6 linked regions of the Ovis aries genome follow. The protein of the gene in region 1 interacts with the protein of each later gene in a pairwise test. Links are inferred from orthologs where the notes say so. Each region holds a gene or a part of one and is shown in the gene's direction. Other genes may lie near its edges. The genes, in order: SNRPA, RBM42, LENG8, QKI, TRIR and NDUFAF3.

Region 1 (4,288 bases):
ACAGTCTTAGAGCTGAACTCCTGATCTGGGAGCTGAAGTTGGGACTGCAAAAAAACAGGGCTAAAATCTGTAACCTTGGGAGCAGGGATTGAAGCTGACGCAAATCACAAAGAATCTGAGGGTTAAGGGGTCCTTTAATGTGCAAACAGATCTGTGGTACAGAGTTGGGATGCAGAGCTCAAAGAGAGAGGCTTAGTAGGAGTTAACTTCTTATCCTGGGCTCGTTTAGAAAGTTAGGAAATTATGGGACACGAAAGCCCAGGCCTGGGGCAAGGCACGTAAAGCGTGGGATTGAGGACCCCTGGGCTAAAAACTGGAAGAATTTAGAAGAGATCCTACCCCCTTCGCACCTCAGACCGGAGTTTGGAACCTTAGAGCTGACCTTTGAGTCAGAGGTCAAAAGGACACTTGGCAGGGAAATTAGCCTAGTTGTGGAGAAAGTCCTGAAATCGGGGCGCAACGGGAAGTCTTGTGGGCTGGAGAAGGCTCACAGGTTGGAGGTCGTTGGGAGCCCCCATACGGCTGGGGTAACAGGGCCGGGCACTAAAACGCGCCTACCCTTGCCGCAAAATGGCTGCCGCAGCGTACAGCCTTTCCCAAATCCCGCGGTAAGACTCGCAACTCAAGCCCGCCCCTTTAACGATCACGTGACAGAGACTGGCTGCGAAAGAAAGGCCTTGGAAGAGACTGCCGCAAGAACCGAGTCCCGATTGGCAAGAGGCGCGTGAGGGGGCGCGGCCTTCACTGATTGGTCCTTAGTCGCGTGCGCCGCAAAAGGGTTTGCAGGGGCTGGGCGGAGTTTTTCTGCTGAGGCGCGAACCCAATTGCCGTTTTTATTGGCAAAATCTGGGTCCGGGAGCTAGCCTTACTCTGATTGGCCAAGCTACCAAGTTTCTGCGCAGGGGTTGGCTTGTAGATAGACAAGGCGGGTCTAGAGGAGGAAGTTTTGTGGCCGGCGCTCAGCAGCGTAGCAGGCATCGCTTGCGGGAGCTGAGCCTGTTTCGGTGAGTATTCTTGGGCACAAACGGCCGTAGGCGCCTGGCGGCGGAGCGCTTGACGCCCGGGCTTTCCTGCGCCTCGTGTAGTGGGAACTATTTTTTTTCTGCTCGAGGCCAGGGTTCGGCAACGCCGTCCCGCTGGCCTTAACTGGCGCTTACAGCCGGGCCATTTCTCCTGGGCGGGTCTCTGAGCGCGTGGGCCAGTGGGAATCGCCACCTAGGCCGCTCCGCCTACTAAGTCGAGTAGAGCATCCTGGGACTCGTAGTAAACCTCACGAGATTTCCCTCACCACGCGGGGAGGAGAAGCTGTGTGCTGCGTTTGCTTTGTTTTCCGAGCCGTGCTTCCCTCTTTCCTCCTCTGTACCTTACTTGACTTTCTCTTGGAAGGAAGATCCTTTAGTAGCCCGCGTTGGGACAAAAGGATTTTCAGAAACCCAGGACTGAGTGGGACTTTTTCATTCTTTCAGCCCTACCTCAGCAACTTACTCCATGGCAGTTCCCGAGACCCGCCCCAACCACACTATTTATATCAACAATCTCAATGAGAAGATCAAGAAGGATGGTGAGTTTTCGGGATAGTCCGGACACCAGGCTATCCCGCACGAACCTGCTCCCTCTTCTGTCCCCAGCATCCATGTCTCTTCCTCAGCCTTCTCCAGCCAAACCTTTTAAGTTCGGCCTTTGCACAAGCAGTGCTTTTGATATTTCCTCATTTTCTCCTACACTTTTCCCGGTAATCTGGTAACTTGCTTGTCTTTCAAGGTTTCAGCTTCAAGACGCCCCTCCTCCAGGATGCCTCCCCCTTCCCTTTTCCACCCACGTGCTTGCCTCTGACTTCCTAAAACCCTGAACCTCCCCAGCCAAGTCCTGATCTGGCTGTCAGGGGACTGTCTCTCTCCTGGCCTTTGAGCTCCAGGAGGGTAAGAACTGCAACTGTTGGTCACTGTCATGGCCTCAAGTGAATAATCCACAGTGAAAACGTTTCATTTCAAAATAAAGTGAAATGAACCGTGATGGCGGGTAACACTGGGTACCAGGTGCTGATCTATAAATAATGGTTGCATTTAACTTTCACAGCAATCCTGCAGGAAGGACCTGTTGTTCCCATTTCTTAGATTAGAAACTGAGACTCCACAGGGATGTGATTCTCCCAAGGCATACAGCAGGGAAACGTGCTTGAGACCACTATATGGAATTCTGGTTAAGAACTCGATTCTAGATATGACATACTTTTCTTTTTTCTTGAGCAAGTTATCACTTTTTATTGAACTTCATGTTTTTATATATATAGGAAAGCTGGGCAAAATCTGTGCACAGATGTTATAGGGAATATATGAGCTAAACTTCCATGCCTTTTTTTTTATGGTGCCTAGCTGTTAGTAAGGGTTGGATATAAGTGTTAGCTCTTATTATCTCCTCAAGAAAACTGGTAGGAGAACTGAAGGAGCTTGCTGGCATTAAGTTGAGGTTACTGATAAAGTTGCTATTGAAGATAATAAACAAGCCATGTAAATCCCTCATATACTGTTAGAGCATTGTGCCCAGCCAGTTCTCTGTGGAGCTGTGGACACAGTGGTGACTGAGACAGTCCTGGTCCTGACTTCATGGAACCACAGTCTAGTAGAGATGACAGATCTGCTCCCAGACAGTGATAGCCCAGAGTAGCCATGGCCATAATTGGGGGAAGTTGAGGCATAGTAGTCAAGGCTGGGATTGGGCACTTGGAAAAGGGTATTCAGGTTCACAGAACAGGAGACATTTTGGGAAAGCCTACCAGGGAGAGGAAGCAGCATCTGTGTTACAATGAGGGAGAAGAGTGACTAACCTGGACCAGCATGTGCAAATATCCAGGGGCAAAAGAGAGTCTAGGGCATTCTGGGAACCACATGTACTGCAGTTTTGGGTGCCTGAGACTTAGAGGCTGGTGATTTCATGGAGAACATTCAGGCAAGCAGTGCACTCTGGCTCCTGATGCCTTGAGGTCTGGGTGGGTGTTTTACTTCATCCTGAGGGCTTTGGGGAGCCAGGCAAGGGATGCAGTTAATTGTGAAAGATCTTTCCAGCTGTGGAGGGTGAACTTGTGTGGGCAAGAAAGGAGACTGGGCAGAGGCTCAGCACCCAGGGGAATGACTCGGGCCCGCACTGGGTTCACGGGGATGGCAAGTGGAGACAAATCTCAGAATTGTCATCAGAATTTCTGGCCGTTTGCTTCCCTCTTTACCCGACCCCCCTTTTCTTTCCTGCTGTCTCTTCGGCCAGGTGTCTTAAGCTCAGGTACCTTCTTTGCATAAGACGGGTACCCTTTCCTGGCTGTCCATTTGCTAGGGAGGTTTGGTGGTCCTGGGTTCAGATGGACTTGGGTCCTCGGTCAGTGACAGATCCTCTGAGAGCCTCTATCCACATTAGTAAAATTGGGGCAGTTATAATTGCTCACTCATGGAGTAGAGGTAAAAATTCAGTGAAGTTATTCCCAGAAATCATTTAATGATGTGTTTATTCAGGCAGATGTATTTGGAGATTTGTGTGCTGGCAACTATACTGTTCATTAGGGGTTTTTTTTTTTTTTTGGCTCACACCAAGGGACTTATGGAGAAGGCAATGACACTCCACTCCAGTACTCTTGCCTGGAAAATCCCATGGACGGAGGAGCCTGGTAGGCTGCAGCCCATGGGGTCGCTAAGAGTCAGGACACGACTGAGCGACTTCACTTTCACTTTTCACTTTCCTGCATTGGAGAAGGAAATGGCAACCTGCTCCAGTTCTTGCCTGGAGAATCCCAGGGACGGGGGAGCCTGGGGGCCTGCCGTCTCTAGGGTCACACAGAGTCCGACACGACTGAAGTGACTTAGCAAGGGGCTTATGGGATTTTAGTTCCCTGACCAGGGATTGAACCTGGACCCTTGTCAATAAGAGCACAGAGTTCTAACCACTGGACCACTAGGGAGTTCCCTGTGGGGATATTGTGATAAACAAATAGGATAGACTTGTACCTCTTCAGAAAGAGGACCAAACAAAAAGGAAACAAACATGATGTCAGGAGGTGGGAAGTGCCATGAAAGAAAAGCAAGTAGGTTCTCACGGTGAGAGGAGTGACATGAGGGGTCTCTCACCATGGTGGTCAGGGAAGGCCTCAGGTGGTAACATCTCTGCTGAGTCCTGGGTGACTGGAAGGAGGCAGCCATGTACACATCAGGAGAAAGTTGCTCCTAGTAGAGGGAGCAGTCAGTGGAAAGGTCCTGAGGCAAGGTTGCTGTGACGAGCCTGAGAAAGGGCTGGGAGGCCAGTGTTG
Region 2 (2,829 bases), about 3.8 Mb from region 1:
TTTAAGTCTGAATTTGGTAATAAGGAGTTCATGATCTGAGCCACAGTCAGCTCCTGGTCTTGTTTTTGTTGACTGTATAGAGCTTCTTCATCTTTGGCTGCAAAGAATATAATCAAATATAATCAAAATTTCTCACAAAATTTTAAATTTTGCACAGTTAACTATATATCAACCACCTAGATTCAGCAATTAACATTTTGGTATCTTCACTGTAACCCTCCATGTTTATCATTTTTTGGTTTTTGCTCAATCATGTGAAGTAAATTATAAATGAGGTTATCACTTCACTCCTAAATACCTTAGTATTCATCTCCTAAGAAAAGTAATATTTTCTTTCATATCATTACATGGTTAACACATCTAAGACAATTAACAGTAACTGTGTTATCTCATATTCTGTTTATATTGTGATTTTCCCAGTTGTCTCCAAACTGTTTCCTTTTAGCTGTTTTTCCCCTAAACCAGGAGGCATGCAGTTTTGTGCCACTAGATTATCTTTTAAAGAGAATTGTCTCCCTCTCGCTGCTTTGTCTCACTTATAATAGTCTTTTGAAATGTTCAGATCAGTTGGTTTATGGACGGTCCTACCCTCTTAAGTTTGTCAGATTACTTCTGCCTGGGGTGACCTAACTTGTTCAAGAGTGCCCTCAGTCACCACCAAAGCTATGAGGCAACCACAGTGGTAGCTAAGGAAAGGAGCCTAAGTCCCACCCCACTCCTTTACAGCACTGGCCCAGAGGTGGCTAGGCGGTAGACCCTAATTCTGTGACCTTGGACACGTCACTCCGCCTTTCACGCCTTGTTTTCCAGCAAGGAGATAGTAATAGTATATACTCGTGGGGGAAGGGATTCTTTGAGCTTGAGCACATTTGGTCAAGACCAGGCTCAGCCCAGGAGGTTTATCCAAAAATGGCAGCTGAAGTTGACCTTGGAGAAGAATGAGGCAGTGTGTTCAGGTTTCAGGGACTCAAACGGGATCAGAGTGGGCTTTGCAGAGGAGGCAGAGCTGAGGATGAAGTCTGCGGTCCTGGGGTGCCATTATGGGAACCAGTGGGTGTCAGGGGCCCAGGGAGTGTCCATGGAGAGGTGTTCAGGAGGCCAAAGGATGCTGGGGGCTCAGAGGACAGGCCAGGGCTGTGATGACAAAGGTAGGGGCTTCATCACCGGAGTGGGTGAGGTGGCCCTGGGGTGGGGCAGGGCAGTGCCGTTAGTTGAAAGTGAAGGCTCTCGAGCCAGATAGATGCCTGAGTTCTTGTCCTAGCTCTGCTGCTTGCTGATTAACTTTGGGCAGGTGACTTGACCTCTCTGTGCCTTGGCGTATAGGGCTGTTGGGAATGCCAGGTATGTGAAAACTTTATGGATGCTTTGCAGAGAGTCTGCTGCTAAGTCACTTCAGTCGTGTCCAACTCTGTGCGACCCCATAGACGGCAGCCCACCAGGCTCCCCCGTCCCTGGGATTCTCCAGGCAAGAACACTGGAGTGGGTTACCATTTCCTTCTCCAGTGCATGAAAGTGAAAAGTGAAAGTGAAATCGCTCAGCGACCCCAGGGTCTGCAGCCTACCAGGCTCCTCCACCCATGGGATTTTCCAGGCAAGAGTACTGGAGTGGGGTGCTATTTCAGAGAGTCTAGCACAGGGTATATACTATCCAGGTGTTGGCTGTTATAACTAAGAGGACCTCAGGTCGAGACTGCTGGGATACAGAGGGAAGAGGGCTTGGGGGATGCTCCCAGAGAAGGTGGGATCATTTCAGTAAGACAGACCCTGGGCCACACATGTGTATCCTCTGATCTTCCCTCTCCCAACCCCAGATGACTTCCGGATCTTCTGTGGGGACCTGGGCAACGAAGTGAATGATGACATCTTGGCCCGAGCCTTCAGCCGCTTCCCATCCTTCCTTAAGGCTAAGGTGATCCGTGACAAGCGCACAGGCAAGACCAAGGGTTATGGCTTCGTCAGCTTTAAGGACCCCAGTGACTATGTGCGTGCCATGCGTGAGATGAATGGTGAGTGCGGTCTCCCTAGGGTCATTGGGCATGGCAGACATCTGGTCTGAGCCTGACCTTGAACCCTCTCTTCCCACAGGGAAGTATGTGGGCTCACGCCCCATCAAGCTGCGCAAGAGCATGTGGAAGGACCGGAACCTGGACGTGGTGCGCAAGAAGCAGAAGGAGAAGAAGAAATTGGGCCTGAGATAGGGTCTGTGGCCAGGCACCCGCTCCCATCCGGCCGGGCGCTGGTTCCTCCCCACAGTTCTTTGGAAAACCCTCAACTGTCTACCCAGCCATCCTCCCCAACACCAGTTTCAATAAATTTACGTTCATTTCCATCCTTGGCTAGGCTTGGAAGCACTCTTTGGAGAGCCGGGCTTAGCATCCCCCACTCTGGAGACAGTGGGGAGCCTTGAAAGTTTACATAAACATGCAGATGGGTGTTTTCAACGCTGCTACCTGCCCGTTAGATCTTCTTGAAACCTCTTTAAGTGTATACTGAGTGCAGCCCATTCCTCAGAGGAGGAAGTAGAGTCTTAGCGCAAGGTCAAAGCCAAGTGGAGGCTCACCCCAGTGGTCTTCTGATTCCACCCTGTGTTCTCAGCACCAAGGTAGTGGGTCCTCTGGGCCCTGCCCTTCTGGAGCTCAGAGCTTTCCAGGCTTTCATTCATTCATCCATTTTCATCAAGGACCTGGACAGTGTGTGGATACCGTGGTAACAGTGTTCCTAGCTAATGGTTCAGTGGCAGAGAGCCATTGCCAGACAATGAGAGTTAGCAGGGTTGGGATGGGGAACCATCCCGAGGAGTCCAAGGCGGCTTCCTGAAGGCACTGGCCA
Region 3 (3,500 bases), about 14 Mb from region 1:
ACTGGAAGGAGAAGCAGGACTACGCCTTCGCCTGCGAGCAGATGAAGTCCATCCGGCAGGACCTCACGGTGAGGCGGGCGCCAGCGAGGGGCCGGGGCCGGGGCAGGGCCGATCGGGGAGGCCGGCTCTGCTGTGACAGCCGCTGTCCTCCCACCAGGTGCAGGGTGTGCGCACCGAGTTCACAGTGGAGGTGTACGAGACGCACGCGCGCATCGCCTTGGAGAAGGTGAGGGCAGGCAGGGCCCCGCCCCACCCCACCCCACCCCAGGCTTTCAGCCGTCCCCCCACCCAGCCGTGTGGGCCTCACTCTGCCCCCTCACGCTCTGCCCTCCAGGGGGACCATGAAGAGTTCAACCAGTGCCAGACGCAGCTCAAGTCGCTGTACGCCGAGAACCTGCCGGGCAACGTGGGCGAGTTCACCGCCTACCGTATCCTCTATTACATCTTCACCAAGAACTCGGGAGGTGAGGTGCAGGACCGCGGCCCTGGGCCCCTGACGCGGCCCCCCGAGCCCCCTGACCCCGAGTCTCTGGCCGCAGACATCACCACAGAGCTGGCGTACCTGACTCGGGAGCTGAAGGCGGACCCTTGCGTGGCCCACGCCCTGGCGCTCAGGGCCGCCTGGGCTCTGGGCAACTACCACCGCTTCTTCCGGCTCTACTCTCACGCTCCCTGCATGTCTGGCTACCTCGTGGACAAGTTTGCAGACCGGGAGCGCAAGGCTGCGCTCAAGGCAATGATCAAAACGTATGTAAAGCTGAGCTCCACCCCGCCCAGGCCGCGGGCCGCCCTGTCTCCTCCCCCTACCTGTGCGCTCGTCCTCATCTGGACCCGCCCTTCTCTGCACAGCCCCCCGCCCCTCCCCTCTCTCCTGCTGCTCTCTGCTCGTGGCAGCCTGGAACCCCCCCCTCCCACATCATCCCCTTGTCCAGGCCCCCTTCATCCAAAGCCTCCCGCTTCCCCGACCCTCGAGGCCGAACCACGCCCAGAGGCTGAGCGCCCCCGTGGGGCAGCCCGCAGAGCCGGCCCCGCCCTCAGCAGCTGTGGGCTCAGCGACCGGGCCTTGCGCCCTCGTGAGGGCTCAGATGAGTTTAGGGCCGTGCAGGCAAGCGAGGCCGACAGCCCCCAAAGAGGGTGCCCTCTGCCCCGGGCAACGGTGTGTTCGCATCTGTTAGGAGGGAGGCGCGCCAGGTGGGCTAAGGACACCCCTTTTGTCACGGCCGGAGTCGTCCCGGCTTCTAGGGCCAGAGGCTGGGGATGTGCTGAGCGTCCCACGGTGCCCGGGTCGCCTCCGCCGGGGCCACCTCCTGAGGTGACAGGCTGCCGAGCACTGCTCAGAGGTCCCAGGGGCCTTGGGAGCCACGGGGCGCGGTCTGGGTGGGGGTGGACACCCACCCAGGAGGGTTAGGAGGCTCCTTGTGGGCTCCAGTGTGGGGTGAGAACGTTTAAGGGTGAGGTAGAGGGCAGGGCTGTGGAAAGACAGGCAGTGAGGCGGGCTCAGCAGACAGGGCAGGGCGCGGGCTGCTTCCTGCCCAGAGCGCCGAGGGGCCTGTGTCTGAAGGGGCCCGCGTCTTCAGCAGAAACTGCCCCCTGTCCCAGGGCCAGTCCCACAGACGGCCAGGGTTCGAGGCAAGAGGGGTCCCGTGTCCCCCACTAGTGTGAGCTCAGTGGCTGTGCCCCTGGAGCCCTGCTCCTGGGTGCGTACAGCTGGGTGGGCCCGCTGCTGGGAGGGCGCACGCACAGAGCTGCTGGCCGGCACCGGCCCACCTCCTCTTAGCTGGGTGCTCAGCCTCCTCTGACCAGGGCGAGGCAAGCAGGAGGGGTGGTCCCCAGATAGGATCAGCCCCCTCCAGCCCCCGCCCCTTGCATCGATCCCCGGCCCCCCCGGCCTCGGTGGGCCCTCTTGTGAGGGTCTGCGCAGGCACCCAGCCAGCAGAGGAGCCAGCTGGCCCTTCCCTCCCATCCCCTCCTCCTGTCCCCTGCTCAGGTAAGTGAGGGCGAAGGGGGGCGCAGCCGGGGCCGGGGTCCGACCCCACCCCGGGCCCCCCTGAGCCGCTGAGGTGGGGAGGCTGCGGGTGGGAGCGGGGCTGGCAGCTAATGCGCTGAGGAAGCCTCTCGGGCGCCCGAACGGGGGCGCCCCCTCCCTGCCCGTGGGGCCTTCCCGCGTCTACCGCCGCCTCATCACCTTCTCCTCTTGTCTCCGTAGCTTCCGCCCAGCGCTGCCCGTCTCCTACCTGCAGGCCGAGCTGGCCTTCGAGGGCGAGGCCGCCTGCCGGGCCTTCTTGGAGCCCCTGGGCCTGGCCTACACGGGCCCGGACAACTCCAGCATCGACTGCCGCCTCAGCCTGGCGCAGCTGCCGGCCTTCTGAGCACCAGCGCCGCGGGGGCGGGGGGCTGGGCTGCAGATCTTGTCTTTGAGCCATGGACTTGGGGTGTAAATTAATTCGTGGGGAGAGGGCTCCAGGAAGAGCCCTCGTCCCTGCCCCCGTTTTCCCACCGGGGAGTCTGTACAGAGATTTTTCTACGTTTTTATTTTTGGCCTGAGAGGGTCGGGCTGGGGAAGAGGGGGACGGGCAGCGTAGGGCCGGGGGCGCGGTCTATAGGCTGGTCTGTCTGTCTGGCCCTCCACTAATGCTGTCTCAGTGTTTTTTCTCTCTCTCTCTCGAGCTCGTACTCCGGTACCGACCCAGCACCCTGGCCCGTCCCATGCCGGGGGGCAGGGCAAGAAGACAGGCCGCTCCGCCCGCGCCCGCCCACGGCGGGGGCACGCCCACCGCCCGCCTCCCGCCTGCTGCTCCACAGACTCTTGTTGCCAGCCCTCCGGGGCCTCAGTGTTTGGGGCGAGGGGAGCCGCCTAGAGACTGTGCCCTGCCCTCGGCCCCCGAGCCCAGAAGCCGCCGCCGCCGCCACCCGCCACACCACCGCCACACTGAGGATTCCGGAGGCCGCCGCGGGACCTCGCCGGCCGGGCCGCCTCGTCTGCAGTTGTATTGAGTTGTCTCCGTGTCCCCCTCCCCCGTGTCTCCCCTGCCCCGTCCTCCCCCTCCTCGCATTCTTCCCTCGGTTCAGCACAGGTAAAGCGGTTACCCTCCCTCCCCGCCTCATGGATCACCAGCTCACGTCATGTTTCCTTCTCTTTTCTTTGTGTGTGTGTTTATTTAAGTTATTTTTCTTCCTCCCCTTTTCTTTTCCGTCTCCCGCCCTCTTCTGCCATGTAACTGGAGGGTGCGCTGAGTTGCAAACAGCTGGACTGTCAGGCTGCTTCTCTTCAGATGTCCTCCTCTGCCTCCCCGCTCCCCCTTCTCCCCTCCCCTTTCCTTCCTTCATTCTTTCCTTGGAGCACTGAGCACCACTTGGAAGCTTGAGAGAAACCAAAATTAAAGAGAGAGAGAGAGAAGCCGCGTGCGCGCTTTGTCCTTGTCTGGGGCCCGGTCCTTATTTTAGAGGTTGACCTCCCAGGGGGAGCTCGGCCACCGCCTGGTAGGTGGCCCCGGCCCTGC
Region 4 (3,500 bases), on another chromosome or scaffold:
CGCCTGCCAATGCAGGAGCCATAGGAGATGCAGGTTCAATCTCTGGGTCAAGGAGGTCCCCTGGAGAAGGAAAGCAACCCACCCCAGTGATCTTGCCTGGAGAATCCCATGGACGGAGGAGCTGGGCGGGCTATAGTCGATGAAGTCACAAGAGAATTGGACACAACTGAGTGACTAAGCTCACACAGTGTGGATTTTACCTTGTTGGGTGGATATTTCATATTCCTATACCTGTTTTTGGACTTTGTTCTAGGACACAGTTAAATTGGAGACAGTTGGATCCTTTTAGGTCTTGCTTTGAGTATTTATTTAGGCACTGCTGGCACGGTACTGCTCAGACAGCTGACTGATTATTTTCCACTCCTGAGGCAAGACCTCTGTGTACTTGTCCCAGTGTCTTGTGTATCATAAAGTTTTCTACCTTGAATCCTTTGATTGGTTCTTTTTCTGGTCTCTGGTATTTCCTCCCACATATGTGCTGAGCAGTGTTCAGTTGAATACTTGTGCAGATCTCCACTCTCAAAGTGAAGTGAAAGTCGCTCAGTCGTGTCCAACTGTTTGTGACCCCATGGACTTTAGCCTGCCAGGCTCCTCTGTTTATGGTACTTTCCAGGCCCAGAATCCTGGAGTGGGTAGCCGTTCCCTTCTCCAGGGCATCTTCCCAACCCAGGGATCGAATCCAGGTCTCCCGCGTTGCAGGCAGACTCTTTACTGTCTGTGCCACTAGGGAGGCCCCCACTCTCTGTGCAGCTCCTTTTTCCAGTACTGGTTTAGGTGAGCTCTAGCTGCTGTGCCCTCCCGGGTCTCAGAGGTTAGTCTTCTCCACTCAGAGAGGCAGGCTGGCACCCTTCCCAGGGCTGCAGCCTCGAACTTCCCAGGCCAGGAAGCCTGGACAATCGTGGGACTTCCTGCCTTGGCTTCCCATCCTCAACCTCACTATCCTCCTGCTCTTGGGTTGTTTTTAGACATGAGAGTGAATCTTGTTGATGTTACTTTATCTTGGCCCAAAGCAGACATTCCTCATTTGTATGGATGTGGAGATACTTTTAGGTTCATTAAAACATAAACACACAGAACTTGATCACTTCTATAAAAACTTCTATGAAAAGTTGAAAAAATTGATCAGATATAAATTTCAGTGAGACGATATTGTCAGTGTTTTACAACATAAAAATTAAACTCTGGATTTTAAAATTGCTTTTTATTGTTACAGTAGAGGTATGTCTGCACACTTTGTATTTGGCACACGGATAGCCGCGAGGTGCCCAGTCCCTTGACTCACTAACTCCTTGAGTCTCTCAGTTTTTCATGGTGTCCCCTTGGCAAAAAGAAACGCTGGAGTTTTTCTTCCCATTTTTAAATGGTTACTTCCAAACAGCTTAGTTTAGCAAAACAACTTAAATTGAAATTTTTGTTTAAATTCTATTTGTAAACAACCACATTATTTATTATTGTATTTGTTTTCCTCTTGGATACTGTTCAGATTCTCAAACTGGACACTCCCACCCTCTTCCTGTTCCACACTGATTTTGCATGGGCATGGCTTTTTATTACAGCAACCACTAAAAACTTAGCATTGCAAAGACAAGACATCATCAAAAGGAATGTAGCATGGTCTAATATTGATAAAGACAAATATTGTAAACTCACAGGTTGCGTGGTGTCTGACAGACATCAACTCTTGCTATTCCCCTTGAAGCCCTGAGTACTCTCGGTGCTTGGTGAGCGAGCTGCACTGTCTCCTTGAATTCACTCCTTGGGGGCACACAGGGGGCCGACCACAGGCTGGTGTGCTTTGCTTGGTTTTCCATTTCCCCTCACAACACTTGGGTGCGTTTTCACACGCAACAATAGTAATAGAAAATAAAGAGAAGCATAAACTTTTAAGAACTCATTTTTATCCTTATTGTCTTGAGTTGCATATATTTCTTTTCCCTGGCATGGCCTCTGCAAACATGTGAGTTATGGTAGAAAACTGTTTGTTTTAATAAACAGTTTATTTTTCTTTGATTGGAAGAATTCAGTAAATAGTATTCCCAAGTCAGTAAATAGAATACTTAAAGATGAGACTTCAAAAAAGGTATTGTTCATTGTCTGTGTGTGGTACATTGCACTGAACCATATGCATTCATTTATACCATTTTGATATTCACGTTGTTATTGTTTTTAATTAATAAAGTTATATTTATGAAATACTTACAAATATATTTGTATATTATCTCTAAAGCTTAAGGCAAGAAGCAATTCTGAAATGATTATATTTTAGCTGAAAGGGAAATACGGCCAATCTTTCCTGTAGCTTGACAGTGTTTTCCACCTGGGGATCACTCGGTCATCTGAAGACACCGGGGAAATGAAATATAGATGTTCTCTGCTAAAACTAGTGTTTATGATGGTATAGTTAAAAGAGTGACTGTACAGCTCACTGTTTTTAAAGTAAGGTCTGATAGAACTACAGTTAAAAGTATCATCACATTTATTCCTTGTTATTATTTTATAATGAAATGGTTCCATAATCACTACTTGAAATGCTTAAAACAAATGGCATTTGTCTACACAGTAATGTCTGTTGGCAAAATACTTTTCCTGTTCTTAAATTCAGCCAGTGTTACTAAAAGCAGTTGCAACAAAATGGGAAAACCGCTGAATTTGAGAATGAAGATGTTGATTCAGTTCCTAAATTTGGCAAGTTACTAGCCACATGGCCTTGTCAGGTGAACTTGCCTAAATTTACCTCAGTGACCTTTCATTTACTCATAGCAAAACCATGCAAGCATAGCTTAATGATTGCAGCAGGTCATTATTATGGATGGAAAGATGTGCTGTCTCTTTGAAAAGAAAATTTTGTAATCGTGTGCTTTGTGAATTTTTTAGGAGGAGCAAAATCGAGGCAAGCCTAATTGGGAGCATCTCAATGAAGATTTACATGTACTGATCACTGTGGAAGATGCTCAAAACAGAGCAGAGATCAAACTGAAGAGAGCCGTTGAGGAAGTGAAGAAATTACTGGTACCTGCAGTAAGTAATAATTTCCAAATCTTAGATTTAGGCCCAAGATCTTTTTCAGTTAATTTTTAAATTATTACAATGTTTATGTTAATAAAGAATAGGTTATTATTTGTTCAGAATTTTATTTAAGCACAAAATATAAAAAAAATGTATAAGTCATTTGCTATAGAATAAGAGACAGACACTGCTACATTTCTTAAATGGGAAAGTCTGCTACCTGTTTATTTTTTTGTGAAGGAAATGTGAATGGAGCAAACCGAATCAGTGGCCTGTTTTTCAAAAGTGTGGCTGCCTTTGCATCACTCTGTTACAGGGTGAAAATGTAGGTCCATCATCAGGTAGGGCTGGTGAAAGCTTTGTCTCTCTTTTAGATCAGTTTCTCATTGCAAACAAGAAGCAAGTGTACACGAAGTCTGTACAAGTTAATACTTCTGTTGGGTGGTCTGTGTTAGTAGGAGTGCATTATTTGTGTTGCCTATGGATTCCGTGGG
Region 5 (4,207 bases), on another chromosome or scaffold:
CACTCCTCTCATTGGCTACATCTTTTCTTACTTTCACCAATCACTCTCACGTCCCGGTAGCACCAACCTTCCCTTAGCAACCGACCAAACACCCATTCCATACCCTTTTCAAGAAGTTAGTTCCGAGGTCCACCCTGACCTGACTCCATAGGCTCAACTTCTTGTCGATCATTTCCCGCCCCTATTCTCCGAACTAGGTCCCAGCACCCCTCAGGTCCGTCTCTTCTGTTATTCAATTGGCTGGGAGCCATCGGGCTCCTGACGCAAACCAATCACAGACGAACCGATTAGTTTGCTGGAGACAGTTTCGGCGCTGCGAGTGGGTTAGAGAGAGAATTACTCCAGTTGGGGGCGAGGTCCGCAGATCCTTGTCCAGTGAGCCCTGAGCTCCTTTGCGGGCTTGCATCCTTGTTGTAGAAGGCACCCGATTCCCCAAAACCTGCTTCCACTTTACCCCAGGTTCGAAGGGAAACTTCAGTTCAGCCAATTCTGTTTGAAACTCTGCCCTGGGCAGGAATACATGCTTGGTCGCAGGCCCTTTTGAGGACACTATACCTTAGTTGGAGGCTCCAACCTAGAACTATCCGTGGCTTCATTTCGGTACTCTAGCACATAAAGAACTTCACAATCACTTTTCACTTTCATGCATTGGAGAAGGAAATGGCAACCCACTCCAGTGTTCTTGCGTGGAGAATCTCAGGGATGGGGGAGACTGGTGGGCTTCCGTCTATGCGGTCGCACAGAGTCGGACACAACTGAAGCGACTTAGCAGCAGCAGCACATAAAGTAATACCTTGATTTGCAGATATGAACCTCTCAGCTCCTTGGAGTGAGCTGTGTCTCTATTTCCAAATGAAAGCTCCATCCCAGAGATAGGTACCTAATCCAGAGACACCCCCATTTCTGTTCTCGGGGACCAGGCTAGATATGCCCTCTGGCTAGTTTTAGTTAGGGACCCAGGTTCCGAGGTTATCAGCTGAGCACACAGCCAAGCAACGTCTCTCCCCTCACTGAGATTATCCCTGGTGTCAGAAGGAGATTCTAGCCCCGAAAAGCTAGTACACCACCGAGTCCCACGCGGGAACCGCACTCCGAGAGCCAGCTACACACTCAGAACCAAACAATAGTCTCATTCCGGAAGAGACCATCTTTGCGTAACGCCAGCAGGAGCCTAGCAGGGTTATGATGTTCCGCCGGACCCGGCAGGGCGGGCCGGGGCAGCTGGTTGAGGGCGCGCAGCGTCAGGCCTTATTCCTCATTCGCCCCGCCCCTCATGCCCCGCCCCCACTGCGGTCGTCTAAGCACCAGACTGGTCTTCCCGGCATGCATTGCCCGGGACCAGGCTTCTCGGGCGCCAAGCGCGGGGCCGGGAGCGGCCTTCCCGGAGTCCTTTGCGCGGCACCTGGTGACAAAATGGCTGCCCGAGGGAGACGGGCGGAGCCTCCTGGTCGGGAGGCGCCGGGCCCTGCGGGTGGCGGCGGCGGCGGCGGAAGCCGATGGGCTGAGTCCGGGCCCGGGACGTCGCCCGAGAGCGGCGATGATGAAGTGTCGGGCGCGGGTTCGAGCCCAGTGTCGGGCGGCGTGAACTTGTTCGCCAACGACGGCAGCTTCCTGGAGCTGTTCAAGCGGAAGATGGAGGAGGAGCAGCGGCAGCGGCAGGAGGAGCCGCCCCCGGGCCCGCAGCGACCCGATCAGCCAGCCACCGCTGCCGCCGCGGGTCCCGGGGATCCGAAGAGGAAGGGCGGTCCGGGCCCCACGCTCAGCTTCGTAAGGAGCCGCGGGGGTGGGGGCGGGCGCCAGGGTCTTCCTTGGCCTGGGGAATCGGGACCGAGAAAGGGGATCGGGATCCACGTCCACCCTCCGATTCCGATCAGGGGGCCGTCTGGGTCATCCGCTGAGGATTCAGAACCTGGATTCCCTACAAGAGAGGTCTGGGGGCGGAGATGGGGACCCCAGGAGTCTGCCCGCAGGAACTGGGAGCTGGGGGGGGGATTCCATTGGAAACAGCGTTCCGAGGATCGGGAGACCAGGGTACTAGAATTCCTGTTTGAGTGGTACCCACCCGAACTTTGGATTTGGGGACCATCTCCCACTATGAGAATGGGTGTCATATTCAAGTCTGGAGTCTGAGCTGTGTGAATGAAAGACTCAGACTGCTTACTGTGTGACCTAGGAGATTTGCTTGAGTTCCATGATTTTCCTTCGTCCGGTGTCCATTTATTGAGCACCTTACCTTGTGCTGGGCACTGTGCTAGGTGATGGATATGCTGTGCTGAACATGACAGGCATCACTGCTCTCCCGGAGCATCTGAGATGGCCTAACCTCATTTTCCCTGCTTGCAAAAATGGGCATCTTCTTATGTGATTACCATTGGGCAAGCCTTATAGGAAGGGCTAAACCAATGGTTCTCAACTGGGGATGATTTCCACCTACCCCATCTCCACACTTGACGAAGTCTGGGGACATCTGTGGTCATCAGGACGGACATTCATGAGCAGAGGGCAGAGCTGCTGCTCAACATCCAGAAACAGAACAATTCTCTCCTCCCCCTCTCCAGCAAACATGATCCTGTTCAAAATGTCATTAGTGCCTAAGATTGAGAAACTCTAGGCTAAAAAAAGGGCACCTATATTGATTGTCAACCCTGAGCTGGCTTTGTCTCGTGTTGAGAGCAAGTTCCTGTGGTGTGGAGAAAAAAAGTGTTGACTTAAGAGTAATGGACTTGGGTGGGGGTGCGTCAAGTTTCTTCATCTGTCAAAAAAGCGTGAGAATAGTCTCAGCAGCTCAGGTCACTTAACACCTGGTTGAGGGCTAGGGACAGGATGTCTGTAAAGCCTGTCACAGCCCTTGGTGCACAAGAAGCCCTCAGTTCGTGGGAGAAAATAGAGGACCGGGAAAGTTCAGGCTAAATCTTACATTTGAAGAATGGGAAGTGACCGGGCCTGGGCTGGTGTGAGAACTGGGTGGCAGCCGAGTGCCCCCCTGTGAATGAGAGTAGCAGTAGTTGTCACTGCCTTTTCCGTTTGGTCATCGGGGCGGGGGGGGTGCATTTGCGGGAGTGCCCTCAAAGAGGCCAGGCCAGGTTAGGTGTCAGGGAACAGCATCAGGCGGTGGCTAAGATTGCTGCTCCCTGGACTCAACATACCTGACCCTGAATCTAGCTCCACTGTCTGCTGTCAGCATGATCCAGGGGACAGGCTTCTCCTTTTCAAAGGTGTTTCCTCATCTGTCCAATGGGGACGGTTATGACCTTCATCTTAAGGTAACTGAAAGTTGAAGGAGATGATACGTCCAAAGCCACTTGGCACAGGGCTTAGTATACAGTAAGTGCTCAATAAAGGGAGCAGTTGCTGCCTGTGTGGTCTGTACTAGGGGATAGTGAGGACAGAGCTCATCCCCCTCATGTGGGGATTCTTCTCTCTCCCTGGGAAGACAGCTGGGGGGCCCAGGACTGCTTGGGCATCATGGGCCCAGGGCAGGTGCTGAGTCGCGTGTGCTCCTCTCTGATTGCTGCGCAGGTCGGCCGGCTGGTGGAGCTGGGCGCGGCGTCGGGACGGGCCACCGGGCCGGGCTAGGAAGGTGTAGTGGGCCTCAGCACCGCCAAGGGCGGGCCCCGGCTCCTGTAACCGTTGCAGTCTTCTGTCCCTTCACCCAGGTGGGCAAGCGCAGAGGCGGGAACAAACTAGCCCTCAAGACGGGAATAGTAGCCAAGAAGCAGAAGACGGAGGATGAGGTGAGCAGACCGGTTGTGGCAGGGACTGCCTCTGTTGCCTTTTCCTTCTAGCCTCAGCGCCTGGCCGAGGTGCCCCATCCCTCCCTTTTCAGTATCTGGCCCTTGGATGGATGTACTGGGTGGGGGAGGAGGGCTTTCAACCCAGCTCCTAGATAACTTGCCTCTGCTTATCTTTGTCTCAGACCCAATACGCTGTGGGTGGGTCAGCTGTCTCAGGACAGTCCTGACCCTGGTTCCTGGCATCCCCTTCCCAACCCCCTGTGTATCCCTCCTCCCCCCCAACAGGTATTAACAAGTAAAGGTGATGCATGGGCCAAGTACATGGCAGAGGTGAAAAAGTACAAAGCCCACCAGTGCGGTGATGATGATAAAACGCGGCCCCTGGTGAAATGACCCCCCTCCCTGCCTGCCCACGGCCTGGGACTCTCTGCGATGTACATAACTATTTAATGCAGTGGCAGCGCGGCAGCCTT
Region 6 (2,860 bases), on another chromosome or scaffold:
GCCGCTCACCTAGGCCCCCAAACAACAGGTGTGGTGGGGGGCCTTCCCTCGGACCAGGTCTCGATTCGGATTAGATCCGCAGGGTACAGTTAGCCATGTTGGTCCCATGCCGTCAGGGCCCACTGTAGTGACGGCGGTGGGTCGGGCGTCGGGATCAGGCCAAGAGGGAAGCGCGCCCGTGGGGTCGGAGAGGAAGTAAACCCTCCTCGGGGACTCCCCCGCACCCAGGGCCCTTTGTCCGGTGACGCTGCCAGTACCCGGAGCGCTAGACGCCCAGTGGGCCCGAACTGCAGCGCCAGGAATCCCGGAAACCCACTGCGACCGTCCTCGGTTGTGCCGAGCCTCCCGCCTGCCCGGCCCTGCGGGTAGGAGATGCGGCAACGTGCCCCTAAGGCCAAAACACTGTGGTCGCGCGGAGATGCTGGAACCTGCGCGGGTGCCAGCGATTCTCACGCCAGTAGGCCTTCTGATTCGGCTCAAAACGCAGGTCACGGGATTCTCGGAGCGCGAGCGAAGTGCGCGACAACAGGGCGAGGCTCCAGCCGCTGTCTACTTCACCATCCGGTCCGGTCTGGCCCGGTAGTCGCAACGACCAGCTTGAAGTTCCCCACCAACGCGTCCCCTTCCGCTTGCTCCGGCTGCAGCGTTGGAGCCATTTTAAGGCGAAACCCCCAGCCACACCCCCTCGGGCTCCGGAGAGGCCAATCCAGGCGCAGCCACGCCCCGTGCGACTCGCGGCCGCGACGCCAACGGTCGCGCGGGTGACGGTTAGGGAGGGGCGGGACTCGGGGGGCGAGCGACGGAAACCTGAGCTGCCCGCCCCGCCCTCGGAACCCGAAGCTCTAAAGCCGGGATTAGAGGCTGGGGGGTTGTGGGCGGGCGCCACGCCCAGGCCAGGTGTGCGCGACTCCAACAGGTGCTCGGCCGCCCTCCCCCGGCCCTGGGAGCCCAGCGTAATGGCTGAGAGCTGGGGGCCAGGCAGTGCCCTGCGGCCGGCCGCGCCTCCAGGTGTCCGGCTCTCCCAGGGCGGCCTGCGGGCGCCCGGGGCGGGGAGGATGGCAGGTGCTGACACCGGAGCCGCGCTGGGGGACGCGGCCCCCTGGGACGGAGGCCCCTGGCCCGCTCCCTCCCTTCTCCCGCGCTGGGCCGGCCGAGCCGCGCGGTGTCCTCCGCGACGCTGGGGGCGCTAGAGCCGCGCTGGGCTGGGGGACGCCGCGACCCCGTTGACCCTGCGCCAGCCTCCCTGCGCGCCGGTCCGCCATGGCCGCAGCGTTTGTGCTTCGGAACCTGTACCGCGCGCGACCTGCGCTTCGCTGTCCGCCCGCGGAGCTGCCATGGTGAGCCCGGACGCGGTGTCCCTGACCATCCGCCCCACGGCCGGCCATTCCCGGCCCCCTGACAGTACCTTTCTGCAGGGCCCCGCGGCGGGGACATCGGCTCACGCCGGCGGATGACGAGCTGTATCAACGGACGCGTATCTCACTACTGCAGCGCGAGTCCCCCCTCGCCATGTACATCGACAGCTACAGCAGCCGCGGCTTCGTGGTCAACGGGAATCGCGTGTTTGGACCCTGCGCGCTCCTCCCACAGTCGGTGGTGCAGTGGAACGTGAGCGCCTCCCTACAGTGAGGAAACCGAGAGCCGGAGTCACGGGCCTGCCTGTCCCTAGCAAACCTGGCATTTCTTTCATCCCACTCTGGAGCAGGTAGAGGGTTTCTGGGAACACCTACGTGGGCTTACATTTATCTTGCCCTCTCCCCACACAGGTAGGTTCCTACCAGGACATCACCGAGGAAAGCTTCTCTCTCTTTTGGATGCTGGAGCCCAGGATAGGTATTGATGGAGGGGAGGGCTGAAGTGCTGAGCCCAGAAAGGCACCCTCTCGACCGAGCTGCTTGTAGACTAGCCGAGCCTATCCTTTCCTAGAGATTGTTGTGGTGGGCACCGGAGACCGGACTGAGCGGCTGCAGCCCCACGTGCTGCGAGCCATGAGGCAGAGGGGCATCGCGGTGGAGGTGCAGGACACAGTACGTCCGGGACTGGGGGACTTGGAGGGGAGCCCAGGCCGAGCCCTGGGCCAGCTGACGCTAGCTTTCTCATTGCAGCCCAATGCCTGTGCCACTTTCAACTTCCTCTGTCATGAAGGCCGAGTGACAGGAGCTGCTCTCATTCCCCCACCTGGAGGGGCTGCACTCACATCTCAGGCCCAGTCTGCAGAATGAACCACCGAAACTTAACCTGACTTGTCCAGGAGGGCCTTGTCACCTTCTGCAGAATGCAGCGGTGCCCTGAGCTTTCACTAGCCCCTCCCCTTTCGCACTGTAAGATTTGTTTTGCTTACCAGCAAATTACTAATTTAAGCCCCTTGTCTGATTTTCTACTAGCTGTGTTGCTGGCCAGGAGCTGTTGTCTCAATGGGTTCTTGGAGGGGTTTGTGAAGGAACCAGAGGGTCATGGCTTGGCCTCTGAGAGGCCAGGGGGCAATATAGGCACCTGTTCTAAACTGTAGGTCTGTCTACTTGCTCACATACAGATTTGAGGGGACCTCTGTGCTTCCTCCAAATACGTGAAAAGTTAAAGTAGTCACTTGGTTGTGTCCAACTCTTTGTGACCCCATGGACTGCAGCCCACCAGGCTCCTCTGTCCATGGAATTCTCCAGGCAAGAATACTGGAGCGGGTTGTCATTTCCTTCTCCAGGGGATCTTCCCCACCCAGGGATAGAAACTGCATCTTCCACATTGCAGGCAGACTCTTTACCAACTAAGCCATCAGGGAAGGTTCAGAGTATGTGGGTCTAAACCTGGTCCCATGTGGCCGAACTTTGGGCTAGCAGGAGGTCCTGTGGATGCCAGTCCAAAA

The links.
Region 2: the proteins of SNRPA (region 1) and RBM42 interact in a two-hybrid assay, tested with the Homo sapiens proteins (2 studies listed by BioGRID and IntAct). The link is inferred for Ovis aries from reciprocal best matches to the Homo sapiens genes SNRPA and RBM42.
Region 3: the proteins of SNRPA (region 1) and LENG8 interact in binary tests that used the Homo sapiens proteins (3 or more experiments, as listed by UniProt). The two-hybrid records come from large-scale screens. The link is inferred for Ovis aries from reciprocal best matches to the Homo sapiens genes SNRPA and LENG8.
Region 4: the proteins of SNRPA (region 1) and QKI interact in binary tests that used the Homo sapiens proteins (3 or more experiments, as listed by UniProt). The link is inferred for Ovis aries from reciprocal best matches to the Homo sapiens genes SNRPA and QKI.
Region 5: the proteins of SNRPA (region 1) and TRIR interact in binary tests that used the Homo sapiens proteins (3 or more experiments, as listed by UniProt). The link is inferred for Ovis aries from reciprocal best matches to the Homo sapiens genes SNRPA and TRIR.
Region 6: the proteins of SNRPA (region 1) and NDUFAF3 interact in binary tests that used the Homo sapiens proteins (3 or more experiments, as listed by UniProt). The two-hybrid records come from large-scale screens. The link is inferred for Ovis aries from reciprocal best matches to the Homo sapiens genes SNRPA and NDUFAF3.

What each region holds. Positions count from the first base shown.
Region 1 is NC_056067.1:49,429,449-49,433,736, forward strand, and holds the start of SNRPA (U1 small nuclear ribonucleoprotein A), read left to right. Parts: upstream 1-1,488; coding exon 1,489-1,561; intron 1,562-4,288. UniProt on the Homo sapiens protein: Component of the spliceosomal U1 snRNP, which is essential for recognition of the pre-mRNA 5' splice-site and the subsequent assembly of the spliceosome. U1 snRNP is the first snRNP to interact with pre-mRNA.
Region 2 is NC_056067.1:45,665,728-45,668,556, forward strand, and holds the end of RBM42 (RNA-binding protein 42), read left to right. Parts: intron 1-1,811; coding exon 1,812-2,006; intron 2,007-2,085; coding exon 2,086-2,198; 3' UTR 2,199-2,329; downstream 2,330-2,829. UniProt on the Homo sapiens protein: Binds (via the RRM domain) to the 3'-untranslated region (UTR) of CDKN1A mRNA.
Region 3 is NC_056067.1:63,813,778-63,817,277, forward strand, and holds the end of LENG8 (leukocyte receptor cluster member 8), read left to right. Parts: coding exon 1-68; intron 69-157; coding exon 158-226; intron 227-334; coding exon 335-464; intron 465-539; coding exon 540-1,408; 3' UTR 1,409-2,206; coding exon of another isoform or gene 2,207-2,369; 3' UTR 2,370-3,397; downstream 3,398-3,500. Other genes in the region: LENG9 (leukocyte receptor cluster member 9), read right to left, coding at 3,436-3,500.
Region 4 is NC_056061.1:86,677,227-86,680,726, forward strand, and holds part of QKI (KH domain-containing RNA-binding protein QKI), read left to right. Parts: intron 1-2,874; coding exon 2,875-3,018; intron 3,019-3,500. UniProt on the Homo sapiens protein: RNA reader protein, which recognizes and binds specific RNAs, thereby regulating RNA metabolic processes, such as pre-mRNA splicing, circular RNA (circRNA) formation, mRNA export, mRNA stability and/or translation.
Region 5 is NC_056058.1:11,080,600-11,084,806, forward strand, and holds the start of TRIR (telomerase RNA component interacting RNase), read left to right. Parts: upstream 1-1,407; 5' UTR 1,408-1,413; coding exon 1,414-1,767; intron 1,768-3,656; coding exon 3,657-3,734; intron 3,735-4,019; coding exon 4,020-4,127; 3' UTR 4,128-4,207. UniProt on the Homo sapiens protein: Exoribonuclease that is part of the telomerase RNA 3' end processing complex and which has the ability to cleave all four unpaired RNA nucleotides from the 5' end or 3' end with higher efficiency for purine bases.
Region 6 is NC_056072.1:51,014,007-51,016,866, reverse strand, and holds NDUFAF3 (NADH dehydrogenase [ubiquinone] 1 alpha subcomplex assembly factor 3), read left to right. Parts: upstream 1-1,235; 5' UTR 1,236-1,260; coding exon 1,261-1,337; intron 1,338-1,415; coding exon 1,416-1,608; intron 1,609-1,766; coding exon 1,767-1,833; intron 1,834-1,926; coding exon 1,927-2,027; intron 2,028-2,105; coding exon 2,106-2,222; 3' UTR 2,223-2,360; downstream 2,361-2,860. UniProt on the Homo sapiens protein: Essential factor for the assembly of mitochondrial NADH:ubiquinone oxidoreductase complex (complex I).